3 linked regions of the Rattus norvegicus genome follow. Each later gene encodes a partner of the first gene's protein in a complex. Links are inferred from orthologs where the notes say so. Each region holds a gene or a part of one and is shown on either strand. Other genes may lie near its edges.

Region 1 (5,823 bases):
ATAGTATAGGGAAACAGGCAAGGGAGGATGGAGAGATGGAGGAGGTAGAAGGAGGAAAGAGAAAGAGACTGAGATTGAAGGAGAAGCCCAGGCAGAGTGAGGCCCCACTGTGTCAGCCTTGGGGAGCCTGGGCAGTAGTCCTGCAGAGACAACACCCCCCACCCTGCTAAAACCCCAGGCCAGCTCCAAGCAGCCTGCAAGAGGGAGGGAGGGAACAGGTGAGGCCAGAAAGTTCTGGCTGCTCCTTAGGATACACTTTCGATGAGAGCCATCCCTGCCCTCCCTTTCTTGGGACATATGGGTGGGTTCATGTCAGACCTACTTTTGGTTAGAGGTTGTTGTCAGAGGGGAGGAGACCAAGGGGCAGAGGAAGGAGGAGGAAATGAATGTCCTGGGAAGGGTTACCACCTCAGAAACTTAAAGTCCCAAAGAAGAGGTTTTCCAGAGCCTGGCTCTGACCTTGCTCCTGGGGAGTAGTCAGCTCAGCCCAGAGCTGCATCCCCTTCAGGACAGCAACCCTGTAGAGGCTGCTGGCTGGAGCTGTGAGAGTAGGGGATGAGAGAGATGAGAGGGTACCCCCACCCCCGCAAGCTGCCCATTCCCAGCTGTAGCAGGAGGGAAATAGGGAAGGGAAGGGAAGAGAGAGGGAGAGGCAGAGGCAGAGGCAGAGGCAGAGGCAGAGGGAGATTTGGAGGCTCAGGCTGGCCATCAGAAGGGGAGGGCACTGGGAACGAAAGCTCACCTGAGGATTTGTTCCGCATCAGCCGGACCTCTCGTGCTTGGACACCATGGGACTGCAGCTGGCCACGGATCTGTTCAGAAAATACAGAAGCGGGATAGGTTCAGCAAAGAAAGTGGCTGAGTATGTGAGGCCAACTCAAGGCCTCTGAGCCCCAAGGGGTCATGAAAGAAACACACACCCACATTTGAGCATGCACGCACATGTACACACACCCACACACATCCACACCCACACACCTACTTCCTCTACCTCTTTCAAAGCTTTCCCAGTAACAACAACTGCAGCCTACACTAGTATTCAGTCTCGCTTCCAGTTCTAGACTTGCAGAAAGTGAGTCAAACAAAGACAGAAAACATAGTACAGAATAAAAGATGGCAGCAAGATGACCCCCAGGGCACAAAGGCAACAGGAGAGCAAGTGAGGCAGCAAATCAGGAATGGTGGGCAGGGTGATCTGACAAGAGGCTTAGTAGCAGCCATGAAGCATAGAAGCTAGAATACAATTCTTGCCCATCACAGAGGAACTGCTCCCTCCCCGTGACTTGTACTAAAAGCTACTACCTATGGCACAAACAGTAAACAGGGAAGGACAGGAGCCGGAGCCATTCCAGCCATGTCAGGAGAAATTTAAAGACAAATAGCACAATGGTTGATCTGGACAGCTTCCTGAGTTAATGAACCTGAGGAACACTAGAGAGGCAACTTAAGAGCCCAGGTGAGGCAGTCTCTAGGCTGGCAGTACCTCTTTTGGTGAATGGGGAGTTTATGCCAGACACTTTTCAGTAAAAGTCTCTCTCTGTGCTTCTGGGTATCTGCTCTCTACCCGGGTTAAAAAAAAAAAACAAGAAATTAAGTCTTATGCACATAAGTACGTAGGAAGATGAAAAGTCAAGATACACAAATCTTATCAAGATTGCAAATAATCAGGGAGGACTTGTAAAATATCAACTTGGACTCTGGAGTCCAGCAGTCCAGGTTTAGACCCCAACTCTACTCTGCCACTTGCTGGAACATGAAGCAAGTCACTTTGCTGATTGGGGCTATGTGGGACTGACTACAATGTATACCTTCCAGAAAGAGCCTCTTTGAGGATTCAATCAGCTTGGCATGTGGCCTACCCTGCCATAAAACCACGGGTAATGTCAACGATCAGTCCAATCCTGAAAGCCCTCACATTTCTTAGGTGGGATTACTACTGTTAGAAAATGGGCAGCTGCCAGGCTTCCAAGGAAGCACTGTGTAGAGAACTGACTAGGGGTGAGGGTAGAGAGAGGTACCAAAGATCAGGGAGGATAGTCAAAATTTAACTTGAGTAATACTCTTGCATTTTGAATGTAGCTTGCCATAAGACATCTGCGTGAGAAGGAAACGAGTGAAGAGAGGAAGATGGAAGGCAGAGAATGTCACAAAGGCAAACAGCTTGAGAAGCTATCAAAGAGCCACCTTATGGGCAGCTGTGGCCAGGCTGTCACTGCTGACAAAAGGGGAGGAATATGGAAGTTCAGAAAAGCCCATGGGCCCTAAGATCTCACTCTCATGGGTTTCTGCCATGAAGAATACCAGACACTGGGCCTGGCCTCCATTCACATATACAAAAAGGGTGAAAGCCAATGGAATGTGCAGGAGAGATGTTCTTCTCTCACACCCACCAGCACCGGACACCCACGGCTACTGCCCCTGGGCCAAGCCAGCCTGTCTGCTGCCTTCTTCCCTTCCAGACCAGGAACTGATGGGACCATCCTGGAGGATGGATAGTGCTGGGGGACAGGAGCTGGTGGGGGAGAAGAGAGGAAAGGTGCTGTGGTTGGTGGCAAAGGATGGGTGGAGAGAAGCTGAGGGCCCTGGAGGAGACCCAGCCTGGACTCCTGCTTTGCCACCTGCCCAGGGCCATTGGGGGGGCACGTACGTCATCCTCAGTGGCTGCCTGTGGCAGCATCCTCAGCATGACGATGTTACTGGCCTTCTCCTCCTCCTCCTCCTCCTCATCCTCCTCCTCCTCCTCCTCCCCTTGCTCGGTCCGATAGTCCTGGTCCCGATAGTCGCCGTCTCTGGGGAAGCCTGGCGGGCCAGTGGGACTGTGCCTGTGCCGCCGCCGCCGCCTACGCTGAGTCTCGGAGCCCGGGGAGGCCTCGTAGGAATCCTGGCCGACAGAATGAGATGAGAGACACCAGACGGGCAGTCAGTCTGGGTGGGCCTAGTGGTTGGCCGCTGGCTCTCTGAGACAGGCGGGCTCTGAAAGCCAGGGGTGGGCAGGCGGGCTCCGGTTAAAGGCTCAGGCTTTTTAAGGCTGCAAATGTTCCACAGGATACTTTTAGGAGCTGCCTTCAAGGAATGGCAGTACTGGTGTGGAGGAGGAACTCCCAAAGGCAGGCTGACAAAAAACACTGCTTAAACCTCCTTGGGATAAACTAGCCTGGGGTCAGCAAACTAGACTTTGCCTTCACTGTCTTCTTTAGGCAGCTCAGCTGGTGTGTGTACAATTGTTTACTGTGCCACTGAAAAACACCTGTCTCCTAGAGTTCCCAGCTTAAGGTTGGGCCCTGGAACCAAGCCAGCGTTTCAGAAATAGTTTCAGATATGGGCCTGAGGCAGCCAGCAGGAGTTCATGGGCCATTATGCTCCCCCTTTGTCCTTGGTCCTCAGGCCTAGAAAAGTCTTTGTTTACTATGAGCTTCCTTCACACAGAGTGTGGTTGCTGAGTTGTTAGTTGTTATTCAACCTACTAATTTCAATACTAAACAGGTCAGGCATGACCCTACACCCTCCCACCTGTAGGGGACAGGTCCAGACAACTGGATGTTGTGTTCTACACTTGTCAATGGTCCATTCACAAGGTCCACTGTACCCATGGAGACATTAAAAGATACTGCTCAATTGCAGGCAATGGAGAAGCCTGGATGCCTGTAAGCCCTGGCTAACCAAACAAAGCTAGTAGTTTACCAGGGGAATCTTCAAATAGTCCCTCAAATACCCAGAAGGTAGAAGATAGTTTAAATACAATTTCTCCTCAGGGCTGGGCTTACAAAAGTATACCCTTTTCTATCCTACTAGACAGAGAGCTACTTGCCTACGTGCTTGCACTAGGTCTCTGACTGGTCCTCAGACTGAAATTCCCTAAGACAAGGGTGCTTCTAACCCTCAGATGTGGGTTCTCTCATAGTGAGCATCATGCCTTATCCTTTAGGTTAGAGGTTAACTACCTACATGGGACTGACTTCCCCAAAGATCTTTTCCTTCCTTTCTGTCTAGAGGTTTTGTCAAGACCAGAAACAGTGTTAGCTTCCCAGAGTTGTATGGATTGGTTGATAATTTTGTTCTCAGGTTGTCCTCTCAATCCTAGATACTAGGTCCCATGGAAAAGATCCTTTTGAGTTCCCTAAATTGGTGCAGTATAGAGGTTGCAGTGAATCCAAGGCCAAAACTGAACAACAGGGAAGAAGGGAAAGAAGTAGTGGCTAGGAGCCCTGAGAAATACAGAGTCAAGCAGTGTGAAAGCCAGGGAGACCCAACTCAGGAGAAGAGCCCTCAGAGAAGGGATCAGGGACAGACCCTCCCCTAGGTGACGCAAAGCAACTGAGTAGTCCAAAGGCACAGGAGCAGAGCGCTACCTACACCTGGTGCTGCAGCCAGACACACAGGCCTTTCAGGAGCATTGCCCCCCAAGGCCTGGCCTTGCCCTCACCTCTGCACTTTGCTCTTCAGATGAGTCGTCATACTCATGCTTGCCTTCCTGACTGCCATACTCTCGTGGGTATGAACGATAGTCCATGTCTCTATAATCATGGTCTCGGCTGCGGTTCTCTCCACCATCGTCCTGTGAGCGGTCAGTAGCTCCATACCGGCCAGTTCTGTCACCACGACCACCTCTAGAAGGATAGGAATTAGAAAACCATCTTTTCCAAAAAGCTCAAGATATGGAAGTCAACCCACAACCCTCTCTCTACGGCCTCAGTCTCACTTCATTGCATGGGCTAACTATCACAGGTTTTTTTTTTTTTATTTATTTATTATATATGAGTACATTGTAGCTGTCTTCAGACACACCAGAAGAGGGCATCAGATTTCATTACAGATGGTTGTGAGCCACCATGTGGTTGCTGGGATTTTGAACTCAGGACCTCGGGAAGAACAGTCGGTGCTCTTAACCGCTGAGCCATCTCTCCAGCCCCTATCACAGGTTTTTAAAGCCAAGTCACTTACTGCCATCCTTCCTAACCTCTAGTCCACATGTACATCAGGTGTAGTTTCCTGACTGAATTCTTCACCCCTACATAGGCTATGTGTCTGCAATCCAAAAACCCAAACATGAATACTATCTATGATAAAGTTAATCAACCCAATCATATCATTTGCTTTAGTAATTTTGCCTAAATAAACACATAAACACCCAAATATTCATCAAGATCCCACCAAGCCTACAGGGTAAGGTCTCTGCAAAACTCTATCTGTCTGCCCTTTGCACGTCACTATCCACTTCATAGCCATCTTGCTAGAACTAACAGCTCTTCAGTTAGAAGTACTCCAACTGTGGAGCTCTTGTGAAGGATGTGAGTATTTGGTGCGCAGATTGGGCAGCTCATAACTGCCTATAATCCAACTCCAGTGTCTTCTTCCAACTTCTGTATTCATACACACACACACCACACAGAAGCACATACGCATACTTAAAAATAAAAATTCTCTAACTATAGTTAACTATAAAATAATTACATCAAAGATGACTTAATTGTAAATCTTTGATGAGTTAAAAGATAGTAATATCTTTAAAGATTTATTTATTTTATGTATATAAGTAGCTGTCTTCAGACACACCAGAAGAGGGCATTGGATCCCATTACAGATGGTTGTGAGCCACCATGTGGTTGCTGGGAATTGAACTCACGACCTCTGGAAGAGCAGTCAGTGCTCTTAACTGCTGAGCCATCTTTACAGTCTGATAGTAATTTTATGGATATAGGTCAGTAGTAGAGTACTTGGCTAATATATGAAAATTGCTGGTTTCCATCTCAGACTGAGAAAAATTACTAGGTCTGTAGTCTTAGTTGCTCAAGGTACTGAGACAAGAGGTTTGACCCCAAGGCA
Region 2 (5,823 bases), on another chromosome or scaffold:
ATATAGGGAACGCTTTTGTTTTGAGATAGGGTTCACTGTGCGGCCCTGGCTGGCCTGGAATCACTCTGAAGACAGACTGGCCTTGAACTTACAGAGAACAAACTGTTTCTGCTTCTACAGGGCTATGATCACAGGTCTGAGATGCCTCCTTTGGCACCAGGCACTTTTGAATGGGCTGTTCCTAACTATGTTAAAAGGGAATGATGTCACATCTGCAATACCTAAGGCAGGAGGATTGCCAAATTCTAGGCTAGCCTGTTCTACTGAGTGTGACTGCTTAAAAGGATAACCAAGGGGGTTGGGGATTTAGCTCAGTGGTAGAGTGCTTGCCTAGCAAACGCAAGGCCCTGGGTTCGGTCCCCAGCTTCAAAAAAAAGAAAAAGGAAAAAAAAAAAAAAAAAAAAAAAGGATAACCAAGGTAGTGGGCATAGAATCTGTCAGATCATTTAAGTGTACAGCATCAGAGCAGCAGGAAGCTTGGGAAACTCAGGGGAGTAATGAATGAGGAGAGCCACAGGGTGGGCAGGGTAAATCACTAATACAATTTATAGTCTCAGTGTGTGACGGACAGAGACGCACACCAGGACCCACTTGGTAAAGTACAAATAAAAGAAATATAAGAGGCAGAAATGAGACAAAAATTACTAAAGATTACTTTCTTTTTTTTTTTTTTTTTTGGTTCTTTTTTTTTCAGAGCTGGGGACCGAACCCAAGGCCTTGTGCTTCCTAGGTAAGCACTCTACCACTGAGCTAAATCCCCAGCCTAAAGATTACTTTCTATACTTATAGATGACATCAAAATTTACCTTTATGTATTCTATAGACGATTCCTTCAATCACAGTATGTACACAATTTAAAGAAAAATTAACAAGTCATTAGAAAAGAATGACTTATTTTATTGTTGTTCTACACCAAGAAATTGTGTTTTCTTACTGCTTTATTTTTGAAAGACAGGTCTTGCTTTGTTAGCCTAAGCTAGCTCCTGCCTCAGCTTCACAAGTGTGGGGATTTCTGGTGTATATCATCATGCCTGGCTACTGGCTAGGTTAGGCACGGTCCCTTTATACTAAATAGTAAAATCTGAGTGGAAAACATTATCAAGTACCTGAAAAAATGGAACACCTCCACTGGAAGAGCAATCCGCACTGGTATGTACACACGGCTCTTGACTTACGAGTTCTTCAGTACTCTGCTCCAGAACCTCCCTGTCCTCCTCCATGTCCTAAAATAAGAAGGCGATGAGTGGCTGGATCATCACACAGGGCAGGACCTGGTGGGGCACGCTTGCCAACCCTAGCTCTCTGGAGGTACAGGCAGAGGCATTACATGAAAGTTAAACTTTGATAATTATTAGAAAAATTACAAACTATAATGAATGTACTGGCTCGTACTTGTTCTCAAATTTCTTAGCTTTTCTATACTATTACCTTTTCTATTGCTATTAACTACAGAGCACAAATTGAAGGCCTGACTGCCTCCCTTCTAACTGCAGGTTCATCTCTGTAATCTGAGACAAAAGAATTCTTAGCTTGATCATTTTAAAGATGTGGCAGCCATCCCACCGGGTTATTGAAAGGGTTAAGTTCACATACATGAAAAAACCTGGAACAATGTCTGGTATGCAATCACAGCTTAAATACTGGCTTTTTCTTATTACTATTTACTAGTCCAATTAATTCAAAATTAATCAGATTAAAAGAAAGTCAGCAACTCTCACAGAAAGCAGCTTGGGACTGAAGAGTAGAAAGTAATATTCATGCCATGCAATTGACCACATCAAGAGTTCACAGGGGTGAACATTTGTTGTTCAAATGTAAGGATCAGATTTTGGATCCCTAGCACCTACCTAAATATCTTGTGGCAGCCCACCCGTAACCCAGCACTTGGGAGAGCTGGTAACTGGCAGCTCTGGATTCAAGTGAGAGACTCTACTTCAGTGTACACAGTGAAGAGCAATTAAAAAGGCACCCACTCACACGCACACATACTAAATGCACACTCCCATGCACACATGTGCCCCCATACATGCAATAATAAGTAACAGTGTGTGGAAAAGCGCTAAACTTACGTATTACATTTACCTGACTGGTCTCTTTGCTGCTTTCTGAGCAATTTAGCATCATCAGTGGCTTGGGCTGTTTCTTTTGCAGCTGATCAAGGAGTTGCTCCCGTGGTTCAGTTCTCACAAGTGTTGATGGATATAAATAATTTTTCCTCTCTGGTGTCATACCTTTATAGCAGACATTAGAAAAGAAGGGAGAAATTAAGTATGAAATAGGTTTTAATATTATGTTAAAATGAATACTTTCAAGTAATTTGTCTTCCAAAACCAAACAGTGATTTTCATATAGCTTTTTTACCTGCCAAGCACATACCGGTTGAAGCTAGGAATATTTTGTTATGTAGTAATGGATCTTTAATAGGTCTTAAAATTCTCAAAAGTTATCCTACCTCCAAAATGTGAAGTTTTCTTTTCTAAGAAAGTATACAAAAGATGTATTAGGCTTATGAAAGACTTTGGGTATTCTGAGAAATGGAATTAAAAGTTGTACCAGCTTTGAAAGGAGTTGTCATGTCATTATAAATTTGGTGCAGTGCCTGGCTCTCATGCAGTTCTTTTTTTTTAACTTTTCACATAGCATTTCATTTTCATTGATAGCTAATGATAAATCTGAAAGACTGAAGAAACTAAATAAATCAATATTCTTTAGTACAAACTCTTTACAATTACTTCTTTAAAAGGAAGCTTTGAGATGTAATTTATATGCCACAAAAATCATTCAAACAGTGTATGATTCAATGACTTTATAATGATTTTACAAGGCAATGAGGGATCAGTTATTAATATGTGTAACAGCTTAGCGATCATGGTAATTTATCCATCTTTGCCATTTCTGATCTCTAAAACTGGTGATTTTTAAATGATGCCAGTCATTTAAATAAGAGGGGGCGTGGAAAAAACTGTACAATGCAGTGAACTTTACTTTGCATTAAACAAGAATTAGCTTTTATGGGCTAGAGAGATGGCTCAGCAGTTAAGAGCACTGGCTGCTCTTCCAGAGGTCCTAAGTTGAATTCCCAGCCACCATATGGTAGCTCACAACCATCTATAATGGGATCTGATGTCCTCCTCTGGTGTGTTGAAGACAGCTACAGTGTACTCATCATTCATATATATATTCATATATATATATTCATATATATTGTAATACACACACAAAATAAATAAAATCTTAAGAAAAAAAGAATTAGCTTTAATACTCATCTAGTACTTTTGGTATTAAAACATCCTTTTAAACACACTGCTGACTAGTCAGTCAACTTTGTTTTTAACGCTTTTTAGTTTCAGTTTGGCTCTTTGAGACAGGAGCTCTTATAGCCCAGGAGAGCATCAAGTTTACTCTGCAGCTAAAGATGACCTTGAGCTCCTGATCACCCTACCTACTCCTCTGAGTATTGGTACAAAGTGTTGCCACCACACCCCACACCCAAGATTTTATTTTTTCTCTTTCATCAGAGTCTTGCTTTGTAGCCCAGGATAGTCTACAAGTGACAATTTTCTTTTCTCAGCCTCCTGAGGGAAATGTATTAGAAAACGTCATAAACATTCAAATGTCTAACTTGTTTATATGCGTGCTTTTAAGCTATACCAGGCTTTAAAAATGTCTATTCTTAACAAAGCCAGTTGTCTGTTTATGAACTATTATTCTATTGTGCCCAAATTTCTAAAAAATATACCAGGAGGACAGCTAAGACTGGATTAGAATTATTTTGGTATTCTAAATTTTCCTATTTAAATGTTATTACAGAGAGATGGTAAATTTCTGCGGGCAAAGGCAGGCTCAGTTTCAAAGAGTATTTAACACTGTATACAGTTAAATTCAATTTCAAAACTTCAACAAATTTGTTTGCAGGCATACATGCATATAAATAAATCTTAACGTAAAGTGAAAAAAATTAATGGGAAAAAAACCCATTGGGGATTGGAGAGGAGGATACATTACTCTTCCAGAGGACCACAGTTCAGTTCCCAGCATTCACACTCATTCCTACCTCAACTTCCAGCTCCAGAGGGATCCCTTCACCTGGCCTCGAAAGGTACTGCATGTAAGTGCACATATCTACCCACGCATGAGTAAAATAAACTTTAAAAAGTAAAAATAGCATACCTGTTGGGATATCTAGTTTCAGATCCTGTTGCAGAAAGCAATTAAGCTTTGTTAAACCAGTTTTTATAGTTTTATCAAGCTCTAGGCTTCCAGCTTTAAATTTTTCTTCATCAGAAGTTATCTGAACAACAAAGGAGCTGTGCTGGCTCTCAATAGCTGCTCTGTGTCCTCTTATTTTTTCAGTGATCTCTGAACTTGAAGCTTCACAACATCCATTTACAAACTGTAAAGGACAAAACAAGCTTTCATTACAAAATTTGTAAGCACTTTTAGCACACATACCATGTTTTACTACCTCAAAACTTCCCAGAATACAAGTTTTAAAAACTTAGCAAGTTTTAAAAACAAAGCAACTAGCTCCTATATTCACTGCACAGTATAGGTGCGGGACCTGAAGCACTCTGACCTGCTAAGCCATCTCTGGCTACCCATCCTTAACATCACTCCAATAACAGATGTAAGGAAAGGCTAACTTAAAAATCAGACAGACAGCCTGGCAGTGGTGGCACACACCTTTAACCCCAGCACTTAGGAAGCAAAAGCAGACTGATCTCATTGAGTTCAAGGACAACCTGACCTATGGCTGACCTAGTTCCAGGACAGCCATATATGCACACACACACATACACAAACTCTCTGTTTCTGAAAGATAGATGGGCAGGCAGACAGACAGACTCCAGACTGAAGACTGTCTTTATTAAAAGTATTTTTTTTGCTCTGTAACTTATTCTTTGATTTTCGTTTGTTTGTTTGTTTGTTTAACGTGAAAACCTTTGCTTTTTTAAGAAACCAGGTTTTAAGATGTGCAAGAGGGCATACACGTTTAATCACAGCACAGGGAAGAAGAGGCAGGGGGATGATTTTAAAGCTACCATAGGAAAGGTAATGGGTCCAAAGCCAGGAGAAGAGGGGAGGGGAAAGGGAAAGAGGGGAGAGGAGCTGGGGAGAGACTATGGACACAAGAAACTAAGCCTTTTCCCACGTCTCAAGTTCTGGATTTGGTCAAATATATCTTTATGCCAAGCTTTTGTTTGTTTATATTATTTATGAGACAGAGTCTTAAGACTATATGGCACTAACTGGACTCATCAAACTCTGAATCTCCCTGGCCTCTGCCTCCCAAGTGTGTGTGCCCCTCTGTCCAGCTTCTATGCCTCAGTTTGATTTCTGAAACCTATATAAAAGTGCAAGTTTTACAATGGCATACAAGTCCACACATTATGCACACAAACACAATAATAATGATAATGATGATAATCATAATAATAATAGGCTAAAGAGATGGATTAGTAGGTTAAGAGCACTTGCTGTTTATCCAGGACTCTAGGTTTCCAGCACCTGTGTCAGGGGGCTCATAACTGCCTGTAACTCCCAACTCCAGGAGATCAACATTCTGTCCTCCAAATGTATTCTTGCCTACACCTACACACACACACACACACACACACACACACACACACACACACACACACACACACACACACACAGACACCCCAAATAAGATACAACTTTAAAAAACATATCAAATAAAATGAAACTTTTAACGTAAGAGTACCTACCCTTCTGCAAAGAGACTGACCAGTAAAAACAAAGAATATAAAACAGAAATTGGAAGAAATAGTAAATTAGATTTGAGACCTAAAAATCATGCTA
Region 3 (5,823 bases), on another chromosome or scaffold:
GGACGTACTGAGGTCTTATTTAAGTATTTCGGTTTGCATATTTCCCTAATTAAGAGATGGAAGTACAATTATTCTGGATGAATAGAAACATTTTAAAAAGGATATTTGGGAAAACTTTTAATATATGAAAAATCTTAAAATTTTACCTTCACTCAAGGCCTAATTGTGTAACCAATACCCAAGTGTTCTTTTTTTCACATGTAAAATATCTTTAAAGGATTTGACAACTTAAAAGTATTTGTAAAAATGATTGTGTTACAAGTAAGTATTCTTTCCCCAATACTAAGCCCCACAGATCCCAGGTATCCCCAAAACTTGAAATTAGAAGCTTATTCTGTAAGAACCAAATTGACATTTCCATCTGTGAATAAAAGAGCACTTTGGGAATTAAGAAGCCTTAGTACTGGGACATCCCCTTACTATTCCTTTTGTATAGTACTGCCTCATGCTGCTAGGCAGCTAGTCTAGTACTGAGTTATACTCTCAGCCCCAAGGTTTTCCCAGCTTTGCCAATGCTGTTAATTATTAGCTCTCTCAAAAAATATTTAAGTATTGTATATTTATTTTTAATTGTAAGAACTTACTCTAAAAAAGGAAAACAGACATATTCTAGGGGATTCCAAAGGAAATCAAGAAACTCAGTGAAATTGAAAGATTCATACAATAATCTTATTTACTTAACATGCTTTGAACAGGAACGGAGAACTTTACAGTAGTAGAAATCAATTACTGATCAGCTAAATGCTGCAGTGTTAGACACCCAGGCTCAACCTTCACAATTCTGTAAGACTGACTACCAATTCATCTTAGAAGGGAGTACAGGAGCTGGCCAGAATCACTACAGCACCTACTTAACATAAAGAAGTGGTGCGATACAGATGCAGATACCCACCCAGGCCTTAACTGACAGCACAGATGTGACTTGCTCACATTTTATTCTCTAAGTATCTGTGCTCTATGTCCCAGACACAGTTGTAGGAACAAGAGTCTGGGAGGTGAGCAATGCAAAGTTCCTGTTTTCAGAGACCTTAAATTCCAATGGAGACTATCAATACATAAAAAGGAATAATATATACTTTGTTATCAAACAATAGCTCTAAACAGAAAGAGAAGCCTAATGGAGACAGTCCATCAAACAGGCATAGACTACTTTAGATAGGGTGCTTAGGGAAGGCCTTGCTAAACCTGCAAAATCAAATCCATAAATCTACAAGGTCTACAGAAGGTGAAAATAAGTGTGATAGAGGAGAATATTGTAACTTCCTCAGAAAAGCTGAGACTTCCATGTTTGATGAAAGGAAAGCGAACTATGCAAGCATGACAAAAATATAGGAAAGCGCACAGCTACTAAAGAATGGCAGGAGCCTGGAAAGTGGTTTCATCTGCATCTGTCTTCTCTAATCAACAGGCTTACGCGTGGCTTAGATAGTAAATATTTCTGTTCACCAAAGACTCTAAATCTTCTCCAACAACTAAAATGCCTTCTGTCATCTAAGCACTGTCTTAAGCAGGGGGTACTTGATTAACAGAACAAACAGAACTGCCTTCACATTGCCTGTATTCTTACAGGACTACGGTAGGAGACGATTCACAAAATGGCAGCATTTTCAGTGGTATTAAGTTGTATGACAAAAACAAACAAAGGATGCCAGAATAGGGAAGAGCATCACCACACACATCACTTTCCTTGAGCAGAACCAAAGAGTCAAAGAGCCAGTACCAGAAGCTCTGAAGGAAGAGAAGGTTAAGGCCAGAGTTACAGCTCTTTAAATACTGAATCAACCCGGAAGCTGAAGTCACCTTCACAAGAGAACTGAAGACGGTTTAAATATAACAAACACATGGTATGTGGTAGAATAAGGTAAAATAATGTTATTAACAGTTGACTAACACTTTAATAAAAACATACCCCTAAGTAAAACCAATTGTACCTGTTCTCATGGAAAAGAAAGATCTGTATGTCTCTTTGTTTTTAAAACTTTATCTTCTCTTTTTAAAAAAAAGTACCATCTATATTGTTCTATACTTTATACTTTTTCTTTAAAAACATTTCTTTTGCTTTTATACTTTTCCAATAAATATCTCATACTTAAACAGCAATATCAAATAGGCTTTGTGTATTAAATAAAAGGACTTAGGAAACTACTGCCATATAATCGACACCATCTCTGTAATTTATCCTGCTAATTTAAAATCCAAAATTCAGTGTGACAAACTTTGTCTAAAATAACATTAAATATACACAAGTTGTGACATTTCTGAGGTAGAAATTGTTTTGAAAGTCTTTGATTTTGGCTATCCATCATTTTATTTCCAAAACCAAACCCAGGTATGAAGAGAGATCTAATTTAATCCACATTTAAAAGCTGTCAACTAGGTAATGTAGAGTAATAGAATGAGTGAGTTGGACTGACACCTTTCTTGGGTCAGTGTCTGGTTGAAAGATCAAAGGCAGGTACCCTAAGATCTGAGATCCCATTGCCTATTTCACAGGCCTGTTGTGAAGACTCAAATGAGATGATTCAGGGCAGCCTTCTGTAAACCACAAAGCTCTAGGCAAATGGCAGTTGTTTCTCTTAAGTATTTCTTACTCTAATGACATTCTTAGCCAGAAGATGGTTCTTCAGTGGTCGTGTTGGTGCAAAATCACCATGACACAAAGCCAGAGCAAACATTTTGTGAGAACATGGCTGTCTTTAAAAGCCAAGTAAATTAATGTTATCTAAGTGCAATGAATTATTTAACAATGTACATGTTAATCTTAGGTAGCATTTTAGGTTCTAGCAGAAAGCCACTGAAACAGGACAGAGAAACCTTTGATAGAGGAGAAAACAAAGGACAACACAGAATCCACATCCAAAGATCTGGAAAGCTTTCTAAAACACTAAGAGCATCTATGGATGCTTGAAGGAGCCTTAGTTACTCTCAGTGTATCTAGGCTAATAAGGAGGGTAGTCTTTTGGTTTCCTAAGTAATTGTGTTCATTCCACATTCAAAGTTGCAAGCACTGAAGAGCTATTCAGATGACAATTTCTGTACTATAATCATGTTTAACAATATTTCCTGTCTCTGAGTTTGTCCTTTTTTATTCTCAAATACATGTGAAACTGGAAATTCTCTCCTTTCCCAGGCCAATATGTTCTATAGTTATAGCTTCCCAACACTGCCCCAAGAAACTGCTGCCCCCTAAAAAATATGGCCACTCCCTTCTAGCCAGGCTTCTCTTCTACAGTGGGATGACATGTTGTGATAGCAATGGATGCCCATGCTTATCAAAGTTTTTAAGAGGTTCACTATGAGAAACTTTAAATCATGACTACTGAAGGAAGACATGCAGAAGCTCTTTGAGTCTCTAGCAAATCCACAATTCTGCATGGTCCTAATCTATATGCTTTAGAGTACCAAGTTTTTAGAACATGTACAATGTAATTCTTACCACTGATCCAAAATGTAGTTTCTAATTTTCAAATAGCGTTCTGGTGTTTTAGTTTGACGCCCCTCAAAAAACTCAGGAATTGCTTGCTTTTCTTCTTCTTGAATGACATTTCTATCTATTTCTACTTCTTGTTCCGGTGGCTTAAGCTCTTCTCCTTCATGGTTTTCCTCCTCCACTTGGCAAGGAGGCAAAAGCAGTTCATTTCCACGTGGGTCCTTCTGACCCTCACAGGGCTCTGGAGAAGGTGAGTGCTTGGTTTCCTCTGTTAGCATAGTGTATTCCTCAACCAGTTTACTGTATTTCTCATTTAATTCAACTGAGTTTTTGCCATTATTATTTTGTTTTTCAGCCCATGACATAATTTCTGAGCTTGAACATGCTTCTGCTTCACTTTGCTTCACATTCTGAAGATTTTCTTCTGCAGATTTAGCTAATGAACCTTCTTGGCATAATTCTCCTTGGTTGGTCTTATACATTTTACTACTAGGAACATCTAAAGTAAGATGGCCGCCATAATTCTTTTGTGATGTTTGAGAAGTCAACTCATCCAGCTCATCGGTGATGTCTACATCTTCATCATCAGACAACTTCTCTATTTTTACAGCATTAAGGTTGGGATCTGATGCGACCCACACCTTTGTCCTTTCATCTTTATTTTTAACCTGAAGATCACTGTTGCTCTTCAAAGTTGGTGTTTCTTTCTCCGCACCCCACTTTACCTTATTAAGAACCAAAATAACACACACACATATTATTAAACTAGATTTGAGGTTTAATCACTTTATACAAAAAAATTAGATAAAATGTTTTTAAACTAAGCACATGTTAACAGATATCATACCTTCACTTGCTTAAAAAAAAAAATCTTATAAACTTAATTTAAAAAACGGACAAGTAAATAACATCATACACCAAAGTCTGTAAGTTAGACCCAATTAACCAGACCCAAAGTCTATACATCTCAGTGAATTTCTACAGCTAGAACAGCCATTCTGAACCTGTGGAGCTCCACACTGGATTCCATACTTTCACTCTTGAACATACTTTTATGCAAGTATCTACCACCAAAAATGAAGAATCCTTGACAGAGTTTTGGTGTTTTAGTTTTGTTTGACTAGAAAAGCAGTTAATTTTATATCCTCTTTCATTTTTCATATACATCACCTGCACTCATTCTGTCTTCATTCCCCTTATATCTATCTAGCCTTTCTTGTGCTCCTTTCTATATGTTATATTATACCCACACGTACATTTGCTTATATATATACATAATTGTCTAGAATGCCTATATGAGAGAGAACACCCTCTTTCTGAGATAATGTGGCCTTGCTTAATATTATAAAAATATATATTTTAAGTCTATCCATTTTCCTATGAATTTTGTAACTTCATTTTTCTTTAAAGTTGATATATATATATACATACATATATGTATAGATACATACATGCATAAAATTATCCAGTCATCTAGTGATGAAGGACTGAAGGACTAGGCTAATTCCAATTTTTTGCTATATTGAATAAAATACAACTAGTAGAACACATTATTTACATTAGAAAAAAGATCTCATTTAAGACACTTCCAAATTTTATATAATTATGCTTCTAGATCTTAAATGCATACAATAGAAATTCTAAATAGCAACACTACATAACTGGTCTAGACAGCTGGCTCAACAATTATAGAGTTCTGGCTGCTTTTCCAGAGGACAGGACAGGATCAGTTTCTAGAACCTACATATCGGCTCACAGCCGCCTGTAACTCCAATTAGAGGATCCAGTGCCCAATCTCTTAGGCCTCTGAGGGTACTGCATACATGGGTAAATATAGATACATGTAGTAAAACACTCATATACCCTAAATCAAAAAATGTACATAGTTAAATTATTTGAAAAGTTAAGGAACTTGACCATAAATACATCTTTCTGAACAAGGTTATTAAGTTTTTCAGACAGTTCTCTGTTTTTTTTTTAATGTTTCCAAGGTCCCTTGAGGCAACCCATATAGATAATGGGCTGCATACACTACCAAGGAGGCTGCTGTTTGCAACCACTGCACACCACAGTCCCCATGGGGAAAGGGACTTGGCCGGCTTAGTTAGCTGCAACAAACTGTTCTTTATAGCAATAGTAAAAACCCTTTTACCATAAACAGATTTCATAACTACATTAGGTAGCATTTATATCTCCTAAATTCTAAAATTTCTACGTGTTTCTTTCACAGTGCAAATATTTATAAAAGAATATTTTCTGGAGAAAACATTAAGGCTGCTTAACATTTCCTCCAGGAATGCTACTTGCTGTATAGAACTAACCAGCAGTACAACGAAGAGGTGCTGGGACACCACAACACACACCATCAGACACTTCACTCTGAGCTACCTGTG

What was found.
Region 2: Rbm10 (region 1) and Kif11 share a complex: the UniProt entries of both Homo sapiens proteins name them as parts of the large chromatin remodeling complex. The link is inferred for Rattus norvegicus from reciprocal best matches to the Homo sapiens genes RBM10 and KIF11.
Region 3: Rbm10 (region 1) and Mysm1 share a complex: the UniProt entries of both Homo sapiens proteins name them as parts of the large chromatin remodeling complex. The link is inferred for Rattus norvegicus from reciprocal best matches to the Homo sapiens genes RBM10 and MYSM1.

What each region holds. Positions count from the first base shown.
Region 1 is NC_086039.1:4,104,491-4,110,313, forward strand, and holds part of Rbm10 (RNA-binding protein 10), read right to left. Parts: intron 4,608-5,823; coding exon 4,424-4,607; intron 2,882-4,423; coding exon of another isoform or gene 2,648-2,881; intron 2,464-2,647; exon of another isoform or gene 2,391-2,463; intron 813-2,390; coding exon 743-812; intron 1-742. UniProt on the Homo sapiens protein: Binds to ssRNA containing the consensus sequence 5'-AGGUAA-3'. May be involved in post-transcriptional processing, most probably in mRNA splicing. Binds to RNA homopolymers, with a preference for poly(G) and poly(U) and little for poly(A).
Region 2 is NC_086019.1:244,580,617-244,586,439, reverse strand, and holds part of Kif11 (kinesin-like protein KIF11), read right to left. Parts: intron 4,394-5,823; coding exon 4,171-4,393; intron 2,232-4,170; coding exon 2,083-2,231; intron 1,224-2,082; coding exon 1,107-1,223; intron 1-1,106. UniProt on the Homo sapiens protein: Motor protein required for establishing a bipolar spindle and thus contributing to chromosome congression during mitosis. Required in non-mitotic cells for transport of secretory proteins from the Golgi complex to the cell surface.
Region 3 is NC_086023.1:114,917,772-114,923,594, forward strand, and holds part of Mysm1 (deubiquitinase MYSM1), read right to left. Parts: intron 5,545-5,823; exon of another isoform or gene 5,409-5,544; intron 4,156-5,408; coding exon 3,437-4,155; intron 46-3,436; coding exon 1-45. UniProt on the Homo sapiens protein: Metalloprotease with deubiquitinase activity that plays important regulator roles in hematopoietic stem cell function, blood cell production and immune response.